3 linked regions of the Callithrix jacchus genome follow. The protein of the gene in region 1 purifies or fractionates together with the protein of each later gene. This does not show direct contact. Links are inferred from orthologs where the notes say so. Each region holds a gene or a part of one and is shown on either strand. Other genes may lie near its edges.

The links. Proteins that work in one complex are often made in the same cells at the same time.
Region 2: the proteins of MINK1 (region 1) and CNOT9 purify together in Homo sapiens (affinity purification with mass spectrometry; 3 studies listed by BioGRID and IntAct, with this or other methods). This does not show direct contact. The link is inferred for Callithrix jacchus from reciprocal best matches to the Homo sapiens genes MINK1 and CNOT9.
Region 3: the proteins of MINK1 (region 1) and STRN purify together in Homo sapiens (affinity purification with mass spectrometry; 3 studies listed by BioGRID and IntAct, with this or other methods). This does not show direct contact. The link is inferred for Callithrix jacchus from reciprocal best matches to the Homo sapiens genes MINK1 and STRN.

Annotation. Positions count from the first base shown.
Region 1 is NC_133506.1:106,401,942-106,406,141, forward strand, and holds the start of MINK1 (misshapen-like kinase 1), read left to right. Parts: upstream 1-1,400; 5' UTR 1,401-1,620; coding exon 1,621-1,677; intron 1,678-4,200. UniProt on the Homo sapiens protein: Serine/threonine kinase which acts as a negative regulator of Ras-related Rap2-mediated signal transduction to control neuronal structure and AMPA receptor trafficking.
Region 2 is NC_133507.1:140,310,763-140,314,768, forward strand, and holds the start of CNOT9 (CCR4-NOT transcription complex subunit 9), read left to right. Parts: upstream 1-1,206; 5' UTR 1,207-1,347; coding exon 1,348-1,371; intron 1,372-4,006. UniProt on the Homo sapiens protein: Component of the CCR4-NOT complex which is one of the major cellular mRNA deadenylases and is linked to various cellular processes including bulk mRNA degradation, miRNA-mediated repression, translational repression during translational initiation and general transcription regulation.
Region 3 is NC_133515.1:78,023,603-78,027,854, reverse strand, and holds the start of STRN (striatin), read right to left. Parts: upstream 2,801-4,252; 5' UTR 2,436-2,800; coding exon 1,908-2,435; coding exon of another isoform or gene 1,825-1,907; coding exon 1,729-1,824; intron 1-1,728. UniProt on the Homo sapiens protein: Calmodulin-binding scaffolding protein which is the center of the striatin-interacting phosphatase and kinase (STRIPAK) complexes.

The DNA.
Region 1 (4,200 bases):
GTGACGTAGCAAAGCCCTGTCTCTACAAAACATACCTAAATTAGCCAGGGGTAGTGGCATGCACTGCCTGTTGTCCCAGCTACTCGGGAGGCTGAGGCTGGAGGATCGCTTGAGCCCAGGAGATTGAGGTTGCAGTGAACAGAGATCATGCCATTGTACTCCAGCCTGGGCAACAGAGAGAGACTTCATCTCCCCCAAAAGAAGAAGAAGAAGAAGAAAGGATTGACTTGAAGAAGGGGGCTGACTGGATGTGCATCCAAATGCTAAGGAGAAGGGTCCAGAAAGCGTGTTCAGCTATTTTCCAAGGACTTTTAATTTAAACTCTCTTAAGTGATGTTTATATTAAGGCTGGTGGTGGGGTCTTTCAGAGACAGTGTTGGTGCTGGAAGAGATCTTGAGGATCGTACAGCTGCCCCACTCAATTTCACAGGGAAAGAAAAGGCCAAAGAAGCAAAGCAATTTGCTCAAGGTCACACAGCATGTCAGTGGCAGAACATGACTCTTGGTTCTTAGATAGCATTATTCAGCCTCCACTAAAGCTAATGGCAGTAGGTGCTGTGCCAACATGACTAGATCTGAGGTGACCCAAGCAGTATTTGAAGGGATTGAACGCAGATTCCCTCTCTTCCTCTTCACCACCCCTTCCCCCAAGCGCGACTCCAGTGATCAATGAATAATTGTCGAAACAGTTCTTTTGTGCAGAACACTTTGTTAAAAGAGGTGCAGAGATACACGTCTGCAGTAGGATTCCTTATCCTGAGATCTCAGAGCTCCTCAATGCTTCCCCCACCTGCTAGGTGAGGGTGGAAAGGGCATTCTTGAGGCAGCCGGTGCCCCTCCTCTGCCCCCCAACTCCCACGTGGTTTCTCCAGCCAAGTTCTCACGGAATGGCCCCTCCCTCCGCGGCTCCACTGTTGCCATAGCAATTGGGTGGGTGGACAGCCCGTCCTATCTAGAGGCCACCCAGCCCTCGCGTGGGGAGTTACCATAACAACACCCTAGTAATAGAGGGGGTTGGGTACCGCCCCCTTCCCCCGCAAATGGAGAGGTGGGTGGCTTGATTGGCAAATGGGCACACAAAAGAAGGAGGAAAAGGGAAGGAAAGGCGTCAAAGGAGATCTAAGAAGGAAATAAGGGAGAGAAAGGACAAAAAATAGGGAAAGACAAGGAAACGCGAGTGCGCACGCGCGCCAGCTGGTGGGCGCGCTCCGCGGCCGCCTCGGCCGCCGCCCACTTCTTTCACGCCAGGCTTGCGCGGTCGCTCCGTCCCCGCGCGCGCCTTTCGACGGCTCGCCTGCGCCTGCGCGCAGGTGTCGGTGCCTAGGGGGAGGGGGGGCCCCGGCGCGCTCGCGTCGCGCTCCCGCTTCCACCCTCCCCTCGCGCGGCCGCTCCGCGCCTGCGCAGGAGAGACGGGAGGCTCGGGTGGCTGGCTCCGAAGCGATAGCGCTTGTCAGTCGGTGGGTCGGTCTTCGCGCCGGCCCTCCCCCTCCCCGGTCTCCGGGGGAGGCGCGGTGGAGTCCGCCCCCGGGGTCCTCCGATGGGGGAGAAGCGGCGACGGCGGCAGTGGAATAACCGAACCGGAGCGTGAGCGGCCCCGGTGCCCCGTTCCCCGCAGAGGCCATGGGTGACCCAGCCCCCGCCCGCAGCCTGGACGACATCGACCTGTCCGCCCTGCGGGTGAGCGCGCCGCCCCCTAGCCTCGCCCTGGTTCCTGTTCCCGCCGCTGTGGAGGGAGCGGGGTGGCTGCACGCCTCACGTGCTCCCAGGCGCCCCCTCCACCAGCCTGGGTCCCCTTGGCGACCCGTGCCCCTTTCCCCGGCTCCCGCGGCGGCTGGGCCCCCGTCCTCTGCTCCCTTCTCTCTCCACTCGCTGTAGATGCTGGGAGCCAGTTCGGTCCCCACCCTGTGGTGCCCCGCCCCCACACTTCCCTGCCACCCTACCTTTACTCTGGGGTTCGGGACCCTCTGGTTTCCCCTAAACTTAGCCTCTCCCATCACCTGCAGAATCTTTATTTTGGCTCCTCACCTCCTCTCCGTCCTCTTTCCACCCTTGCCCTTACTTCTATCTTCTTCCCCTCCTCTTCCTCGGCTCTTGGAATTTTGACTTTGCAACTGTCTCGACAGCCTTCCTCTCATCCCTCTTTCTCTTTCTCTCCAACCCTTGCATCCTTTCCCTGGTCGGAATTTCAGCCACCCCACCCCTCCTACCGTCACCCTCAATCCGACGTTCAGTTTTCCCTATCCCTTCTCCTGTTTCAAGTGCAGCAGTTCAGAACCAGGCATTTCCGGTCTCAGGGTCCCTGAATATTACATGACCAACTCTGCAGCGTAGCCGGGCCAGGAGCACTCGGGGAGGAGGGGAGGCATTTCTTCTCTTTGGAAACTGTAGCACGGGCTGGGAAGAGGATGTTTACACACACACACACACACACACACACACACACACACACACGACACATGCTACATGTGGTCAGGCGGAAGGTTTGGAAAGGCAGTGGGTATTTATGTTAGCTGAGGGCTGGAAGCAATGGAGACCTCTCAGAGTAGGGGCTAATTAGGAAAGGGGTTGAGAGGAAGAAACTGCAGCAGGAATTTCTTGGAAATACCCGTGTATTGTCCCTTGTGGGGCACTTACACACTCTGGTGTAGGAGCTTTCTGTAGCATTTATGTTTTCTTCAGCAGGGAGCTTTGGCTTAAGGGGCAACTTAGTGATTTCAAGGTGAACACTCCAGACTGTCAGCCAGGTGGTTAGGAATATGCCCTTCCAGCGCTCTCACCAGGCCAAGGTGTGGGGAGAGCAGGATTTCCCATCCCTAGGTTTGCTTCTCTGGAAGCCCCTCCTCGGATTGTCTTCTGGCTTTTGAGCCAGCCAGAGAACAACGCCAGAGTGGGAAAAGGCGGTCAGCCACACAGGTGCCCCGGATATGGCTGGAGGGGAGAGGGGAATTGAAGAGAGCAGAGTCATGTTGTTAATTGGGTTTCTCTAGGTGACACAGTTTTCTCTTGCCATTCAGGTCATAATTTGTTTGGTGCAATATTGGGCTATGAGACCTGACTGGAGATAAGGTGATAAATTGCTGGGGAGAGAGAATGAACGTTTAATTTCTTTGTGTGCACAGGCACGTGTATGTGTGTTGATGGGGAGAGGGTCTGAAGGCTTTAAGAGGGAGATTCTTAAGGTCAGCTTAGCCAGGGTTTAAACTGCGATGTCCAAGTTAGTTGGTATATAAGATGGAAATCTAGATTCTGCGTAAAAGTCCCTTAATATGTTCCATTCTGGGATGAACTTCCACCTTTCCGTCCTACCTTGGTTATTGATTAACTCTGGCTACAGGTTCCTGTGGCTGGGGTGACTGGAATACAATAAAAAAATGGGTGGGTCAGCCCAGGCAAGGTGGCTCACACCTGTAATCCCAGCACTTTGGGAGGCCAAGGTGGGAGTGGGGCATCACCTGAGGTCAGGAGTTTGAGACCAGCCTGGCTAACACTGTGAAACCCCATCCGTCCCTACTAAAAATACAAAGATTAGCTGGACGTGGTGGCACATGCCTTTAATCCCAGCTACTCGGGATGCTGAGGCAGGAGAGTCGCTTGAACCCGGGAGATGGAGGTTGCAATGAGCTGAGATTGCGCTGCTGCACTCCAGTCTGGGTGACACAGCGAGTCCTTGTCTCCAAAGAAAAAAAAAAAGGGTGGGTCCAAACCACAACCTTTGCTTTGAACTTTGTGGGACTCTGCTTGGGTTTCTTTAGCCTCTTATGGTGGTTTGGCTTTGACCCTCAACCCGGGATTTCCAGCAATTCCACAAATACCTTCTGACCTTAGATGTGGTATTTCCCTCTGGACTTCTCAGCTTAAAGCAACGTTAGTTTTCCTTAGTTGCCTGCAGCCTTATTCTACTCTCCCTCCCCTCAGGAGACCTGGTGACCTGCTCCCAGTGCTTCTGTCTGGCCTGCCTTATGCTGCTTGAGAAAGCATCTGCTTCCCCCCTTTCCACCCCAAAATACAAGGGCTTGAGGGAGAGCTGTACTTCCTTTGAAATGGGGCTAGAGAGGGAGGGCCTGCCTTCTTGCTGGTGACCTTTTCTCAGTGCCTGTCCCCGCGCCCCCCACTCCACCTCAGAGAGATGTGGCACTGTCGAGCCGCCAGCTAAGTCATCTCTTGTTCTATTCCTGTCTGTTTTCCAGTGAGAAATGGTGT
Region 2 (4,006 bases), on another chromosome or scaffold:
ACTACCCCAAAACCAATTCAGGACAATTCTCCTGGACACAGGACTTTGTCATCAATCATTTCTTTTACAGATCATGACTTAGAAGAACGAAATCAAACAACCTGATGTGATAGCTAGAAATGGGCGCAAGGAAATGCACAAGAAAAATACAACTCATGTTTTGCAGTGAGGACTGGTCAAGAGGAAGGTGAACATGGTCAAGAGGGTAAATGAGTATCATGTCCAAGGCCTGGTGGATGTGCGGCAACCAAAGTCACAGTCACCAGAAGAGACAGGCCTTGTTAAGAGGCAAAGTGGCTGACGACAACAGCCCCAGAGGAAAGGGGCCAGGTTCGAGTTTCGGAAGGAGCGACTGGCAGTGGAGACCAAGTCAGAGAGGGGAAAGCCGGGGCAGTGAACCCAAAGGGAGTACCTGTGAGGCTGAGGGTGCGTCCAGGGGTTGTGGGCGGCCTGAGTAGCAGCTGGGCGAACTCCAAAAGAGTGAACACCGAGTGGGCGGATCGCACAGAGGGACTGGGCGCTAGGGAAAACGGCTCAATTGAGAAGCTACCCCGACCCTCCTTACCTGCGCTGAGGGTCCAGAGCCCCCGGACAGACCTGCGGAAAGCACGCAGCGGCGCAGAGCGAGAGGAGCCAGGGGTAATGAAAGTAGGGATAACAAACCCAAAGGAGGGAGGCCGCTACCTACCCCTAGTCAGAGCGAGCGGCTGATGGCGGGAACTGCGACCACACGCAAACACGCACGCACGCACGCAGACTTGACGCGACCACACAGGCGCGTGCGCGCCAGCGAAAACTCCGCCCCTCATACGCCCTCGCCCCGCCCCCAACAGCACCTAGTGCGGCCTAACCCGGTCAGCCCCGCCCCAGCCCTGACTGTAGTACGCAGGCGCACTTCCTGCTTCACCCGATTTCGACCCTCCCATCGTTTCCCTCTTACTCTGCCCAGTTGGGCATGCGCAATTGTTTTCCTCACGGGACGGTCCATTTTTTCCCGCCGTTCACTGGCCTCTGGAGAAGGGTCAGAGTTCACGCCGCTCTCTGGAAATATCTGCTTAAAGCTAGGAGTTGCGGGAACTAGTTGGTCGCGGACGTTTTTCGGGTCCTAAATCTTAAGAGGCAAAGGACAGACTCCGGGACTGTTAACTAGGCCGAGGGCCAGGGGGCGGGAAGAGGATGTGTGGGTGGGGTCAGAGGTGATAGGTCAGAGGGCTGCGAAGGGGGCGGAGCGAGCTAGAGGCGGATGGCTGCTACAGCGGCTCATTATTTTCGGCGGCAGGGGTGCTGAAGCTGGGACGCGGGTCGGGCGCGTCCGGCTGCGAAAGGAGAGCGGCGGCCGCTCCCAACATGCACAGCCTGGCGACGGCTGCGGTGAGTGGCTGGGCCCCCAGGCCTGGAACCAGAACCCTTCCTCCGCCCCACTTTTCGGCCTTCTCTCCTAGTTCCCGGTGTCGGGCCCTAGTCCGATTTTTTTCTTCCCTCAACCTGCGAGGCCCGGGTTCCCCTGCTCGGCGCGCCTTGGTTGTGTTGGAGCCGGCCCCTACGTCCTCGTCGGAAGCCTCTCGCGGCCTCCCGCGCGACCCATCGCGTTCTTTTCTGGCGCCGGGGCCTGGTCCCGCGTCCATAGCAGAGCATTCATTGATTCATTGCGGTGACCAACAGTTTCAGGGCGCCAGTTGTGTTCTGGGCGCCGGCGTAGATGGGCGCCGGCATCGATGAGGGGAATTCCATGGTCAGTCTGACGCGGCCCATGCTCAGAACTCACCACATCGCAGTGGGAAGGAAATGGCTTCTAGTTCAAGGCTTTACTTATGGAAAACCTGAGGCCCGAAGAAGTGCATAATTTTTGCATCTGACTTAAGTTCTCTGGGTTTAAAACTTTCCTCGACACGTCTCGTTTTACCCGCGTGATCTTTTAACAAGAAAGACAGATCGTGTAATTCAGCTGTCTGAAGTAATCCTACAGCTTCTCTTGGCATTGAGATAAAAGCTAGACTCCTTGCCATGGCCTACAAGGCCCTGATGTGGTCCTTAACCCACGTTTACAATCCCGTTTCTTGTCTGGCTCCTGAAGTTTCAGCTACACTGGCCACCTAACCCTCTACAACACACTTTTCCTCTCCAAGATACACTTTATGGTCTCTATGCCTGGAACGAAAGTTTTTATCCTGCCTCCTTTACACACACAGCATGAGTGTAATTGGTACCTCTTCCTTGAACTCTCCATAAACATACTGTTTATCCAAATCCATCTTTCCTCGGGCCTCTGTCTAAATCTGTCCCAGAGTAGCCCTCCTTGACTACCCTCTTCAAATTAGTTCCACAGCCACTAACTTTAATAGAGTACCCTTTACAGCTCCCGATCCCTGTGTAATTATTGTATTTGTTCATTTGTTTTCTGTCTCCTTGAGGGCAGGGACAGGGATCATGTGGGTCCTGTTGACATGGTTTCCCCAGTGTCAGAACAGTTCCTAGTACAAAGTAAAGACTCACTTTGCTGCATGAAAGAATATTGAAGGGAAGGTGACCACTGGAAGAACATAGCCATAATGGGGAAAGATCATTTGATTTGAGCACACATGCCTAAAGACCAATTCTGCTTTTTCTGTTTCACCAAAGGGAAATGATTTAAGGAAAGTAATGTACTGAAATTGTATTATCAGGCAAAATGACATAATTACTAAATAAAGCACCAAAAAATTGCCATACCTTTTAAGTACAAAAAGTGAAAAATTGAGCCAAGTGTGACTAAGCTATAGAAAACTGCTTTTTGAGATTTGATCTCCATCATCATTTCCAGTGCTGTTGGTATCTCTGCCTCCTGTCACACTGTTCCTAAGTGTTTGTAACTATTCAATGTGGAAAGTTATGTTTTATACCTCAATTAGGAGATTGCAATTTCCCTCGCTTTTTTGTTCCTTCTTCCAAATTATATATGTAATGTGAGGAAAAGTAAGTTGAAAGATGAGTTTGCTGCTGTTAGGGGAACAGCAGCCGAGGCAGGTGGATCACCTGAGGTCAGGAGTTTGAGACCAGCCTGGCCAACATGGTGAAACCCCATCTCTACTAAAAATACAAAAATTAGCTAGGCATGGTAGCGGGCACCTACAATCCCAGCTACTCAGGAGGCTGCGGCAGGAGAATCGCTGAAACCCAGGAGGTGGAAGTTGCAGTGAGCTGAAATTGTGCCATTGCACTCCAGCCTGGGCGACAAAAACAAGACTCTGTCTTCAAAAAATAAATAAATAACAAAATGCTCAGTAGCTGGCTAGATTCACTCACTGATAAGTGACTTCTTCCCAGACTTCAGCTTTGGGGATTTAATTCCCAAATTATAGGCTCACACCTATAATCCCAGCACTCTGGGAGGCCAAGGCAGAAAGATCACTTGAGGCCAGGAGTTCAAGACCAGCCTTGGCAACACCGTGGGAACCTGTCTCTACAAAAATTTTTAAAAATTTTCCAGGCTGCAGTGAGCCATGATCGTGCTACCGCACTTCAGCCTAGGCAACATAGTGAGACCCTGTCTCAAAGAAAAAAAAAACTATAAATCTTTGATGCTGTAATGGATGTTATACTTGCGAAACCACCAGAGGTAAGCCTTTAGGAGATGTGTTTTTGTTTTGTTTTGTTTTTAATTTCCCACTGGCAATTCTAGCATCCCTAAACACTTGTTCTCTCACTTTCCACCTAATCAGCAGCATCATTAGTCATTTTATGTATTTTATTGAAGCTGTCATAGACTCCCAGATGCCTTCGTCTTTGGCAAGTAGACAGAAAGAACACTGCACTCTAAAGGATCTAATTCACTGTCTCCTCCCGAGTCTCCTGATGAAGCTTTAGGCAAATTGCCTAACTTATCTTTGCATATTCACTTCCATTTTTAAAAAGTCATTTTGAAACAATACCTTCTGGCTCTTATAAAGTTATAAGGGTAAGTAAGCTAATTTAGTACTTCCAGCACTATTAGAAAGTTCATTATTTTGGAATACCATGCTGACACCCA
Region 3 (4,252 bases), on another chromosome or scaffold:
TTTCTCACAGCAGTTGCCACTATAAACCACTATATTCTATAGGCACATCTGCTCGACTGTTTGCCTCATTGAAACATAAACTCAATGAGGGCAGAAGCTTGGTCGTTTTTTTTTTTTCAACCCCGGGCCTAAACACATAGCTGGCCTTCAAAACACTGAACATAAAATTAACCCTTGGGACGTTTCAGATTCTGAGAACAGGAACCATCTCTGAACCATTCTCTCTGACTGTGATCATCTAGGTCCTTCATTCAAAATGCATTAATTGGAAATACCTAAAAGAAACGTGGGAGGGGGTCGGAAGAAAGTGGAGAAGAGATATTTACATAAATTAAAAAGGGAGCTGATATATGCGTAACACTTTTGCTCAACGTCAACTTCTCAAGTCAAGGCCTCACTGACACTGGCACTCAATACACAGGTGCTGAATAAATAAATGATAAAAGTGAAACCCAGAGAGGTTAAAGGATTTCCTCAAGGTCACACACCTAGCAACAAACACAGCCCTTACTATAACCTTGTCTACTATAGCCCCGTGTGTTGGCTCTTTCCACAGTCACTTCCACTACACCACAGAGCCTGTTCCAGCACATGATTCTATTTAACAGATTTCTCCTCTTTTTTTTTTTTTTAAGTGCCAAAGAAAATACATGTTACCAAAAAAAGTGACACACTGGGTAGCATTTTAAACTCAAGTGTTTCGCCAACTAAAACTATATTCAAATTTCATAAGTATACAGGCTTAGCCCGTAAAACAGAAAGGCACAACTATTCATAGTTAAGTTCCTCTTGAAATTGGTGTGTATGCTTTGAAAGTTTTAAAACAACCACTGAAAAACCTATTCACCAATTCTGAATGGCCTGTAAAGTATCAGCCTCACTTTCATTATTTTCAGAGCCCACAGTATCTCCTCCCTGGCTATACTTTATCTTGCAGATTATGCAAGGCAATGTAACTAACTTCAAAGCCCCTCTATTTCCTTTTAAAGTACAAAAAAATCTCCCAAAACACTGAACATAAAATTAACCCTTGGGACGTTTCAGATTCTGAGAACAGGAACCATCTCTGAACCATTCTCTCTGACTGTGATCATCTAGGTCCTTCATTCAAAATGCATTAATTGGAAATACTTAAAAGAAACGTGGGAGGGGGTCGGAAGAAAGTGGAGGAGATATTTACATATATTAAAAAGGGAGCTGATACATGCATAACACTTTTGCTCAACGTCAACTTCTTGTGTCAAGTCGAGGCCTCACTGACACAACTTCTGCTGTCTTCTTGATCACCTTCCTCGCAGAGACGGGCCAAAGCCGGCACCTTCTGCCGGGACTGTCTCTAGACCTAGGATGGGGCACACCAGGACAGCGGACGGTTTGCTCCGCGTCTCTCAAAACTATTGCCAGCCCAATTAGTAAACCGAGAGGGCAGCCCTGAGATGCGGGATGGCCAGAGTTGAAATGAGCCTGGGAGTTAAGAGTGGGATGGGGCGACGAACAGGCGTGGGGAGGGTAAACAACGCACAGGTAACAGGAGTGAGAACAGGGTTGAGGTGGGGTCAGCGAAAGGCAAAAGACGAAGGAAGGAAGGGAACGGGGCTCAGGGTGGGATGGGCGGTAGCAAAGGGGGAGGGAACGCGAGCGGGCTGGGGGAGGGGGAGAAGGGTCCGGGGCGGGGCGGAAGGGAGCAAAGAGGCGGGATGAAGACGGCCAGGCCGGGAGGGTCTTTACCTGCAGCTCCGCCCGCTCCACCTCCCACTGGGCTCTCTCCACCTCGAAGCGGGCCCACTCGTGCTGCAGGAAGTGCAGGATCCCTGGGAGACTGTACTGGGCTCGGGCCGCCCCCGCCGCAGCCGCCCCGTCGCCGGCCGCGGCAGCCTCCGCCAGAGGCCCGAGCCCCTTGGCACCGCCGGCGCCCGGGTGGTTGTTGCTGAAGAAGACGCCGGGACCCGCCTGCTCGTCCATGGCGGCCGCAGATACCCGGGGAGCTGCCCCGGCGCCCAGCAGCGGAGGCAACAGCGGCGGCAAGCAGCGCCTCCTCCTCCCTCCGCCGCTCCCGCCCACACCCCAGTCAGCAGGGAGCAGCCGCCTGGGCGCGGGGGCCGGCCGAGCCCGTGACGGGCCGGGAAATGGGTCAACTGCAGCGCGCGGGTGGCCCGGGGCTTGCCGGGAAATGTAGTCGTGGGGCGGGACGCGGGCGAGCGAGACCAAGGCGGCCTGTGGGGCTTCGCCTCGGCTGGGGCGTGGCTTCGGGCCTGTCCCGCCCACTCCGGCTCGCCGCGGAGGGGCGGGCTTGGCGGGGAGCGCGGGTTTCCTATTGCTGGCTGGGCGCGGGCGGGCGGCGCTCCAGTCTTCCTTGCACGCGGAAGTTGGCGGGCGGCGCTCCCTTTTGCGCACACACACACAAGCACGCGGGCGGCACTCCCTGTTGCACACATACACACACACGGAAGTTATCACGCCAAGATACCAGCCCGAGCCGCGTATCGTTTAAGGCTTCCTGGTCGTTCTGTGAAGAAACCGTCAAAGCGAACTACCTGGTGCGGCAGCGGGACGGGTTCTCCCGCCGTCAGTCCTGCGAGCTCTCGTGCCGGCTCCGACTTCGGAGTTTTTATCACCCTAGACGCTCCTCCATTCTGCCAGTCTGCGGGTCGCTGTCGCTCCTGCCTTTCTTTTTTGACTCGAGGGGCTCAAACCTGTTGCCTGACCAGTTTTCATTTCTAAGGAACGCTGCTCACCTCTCCAAGACAGCGCCGCAGCTTGCTGCTGCTGCTGCCTGCAAATTGTAGTTTGTTGACAGCCCGTCGGAAAACCTGCTCTGTTGAAGTTTCTTTCCCTTTGCAGCCCTCTGCAGTAAATCCTGTAAAAGTTTTAGCATCCAATAACAGATGCTTTGTTATTTGCCTCATTTTTCCTTACTCCCGCTCATTTTTACTCCATTTAATTGAACATATATTTTGATTATCGGTTATCTCTCGCGCTGGGAATATTAAGATAAATGACACCATTTCTGTTATCAAAGATTGGCATAGAATCAAGTATAACACTGCCTGCAAAGCGACACCACCTGAAAGAGCAAGGTCCCTTTCTGCTTCCTAGCCCAGTCTTAGATATCCTGTCCCCTCTCCATTTTCACTTGTCCTGTTCCAGTTTCTTTTACGATTCACTTGCAAACTGGCAACAGCATCCGCCTACCAAAGGTACACCAAAGTCCTTTCCTTTTAAGTGGCTCTCTGTAAATATTTTCCTTTTCCGAAGTCTGACAATATGTCACTATAAATTCACACTGCAACAGTGGGAGAAAGGGAAGGCCCTTGAAAACAATTTTTAAAATGCAAATGAGGCTGGGCTTGGTGGCTCACGCCTGTGAACCAAAGCACCTTGGGAGGCTGAGGTAGGTGGATCGCTTGAGTTCAGGAGTTCGAGACCGGCCTGACCAACATGGGGAAACCCCGTCTCCACTAAAACTACAAAATTAGCTAAGTGTGGTGGCGCATGCCTGTAATGCCAGCTACTCCAGAGACTGAGGCAGGAAAATTGCTTGAACCCAGGAGGCGAAGGTTGCAGTGAGCCGAGATTGCGCCATTGCACTCCAGTCTGGGCAACAAGAGCAAAACTCCGTTTCAAAAAAAAAAAGCAAATGAAATTAAGCACCTTTTTATCACCCTAACAAGTTATCTGGAATTCTTATGTTTTCTAGGACGTACTTCTGGGCTATCAGACTTGATGGCCATGAAAAAAATGAAAAGATACAGGCTGCTGAGTGACATGTCAGGGAAAGACATCCTGTCCCTGTCCTCTCTCCCCTCCCCCCTTTCCCATGGCTACTTGCAGAAAGGACAGGAAACACATTGTATCTGCTCTGGTTGCAAATAAAGATGGAGAACTCTCTTCTCTCCTTAATTGATGTTTCTGCTTTATGAATTAATTCTTTATTATCATAAAAGATTGATCCAGGCCTGGCCAAATTCCCTGTGTCATAACTTATTTGGCTGTCAGTGTCCTTTGAGATACAGCCCAGTCTTCTCGTTTATAGCTCAAGGAACTAAGTTTCAAAAAAATTGAGACTTGTCCACAATGAGGCCTTGAGTGAGAGGACACATGCAACAATTTGTTTAAGTCAATTCATAGCAGACCACAAAATGTAGTTAAATTCATAGATAATCTGGACTACCACACATATACAAAAACACTATTTTAATTCATAGTTCAACTTTATTACTCACAATACCTTTTTTTGCTTTACGAGGACTCA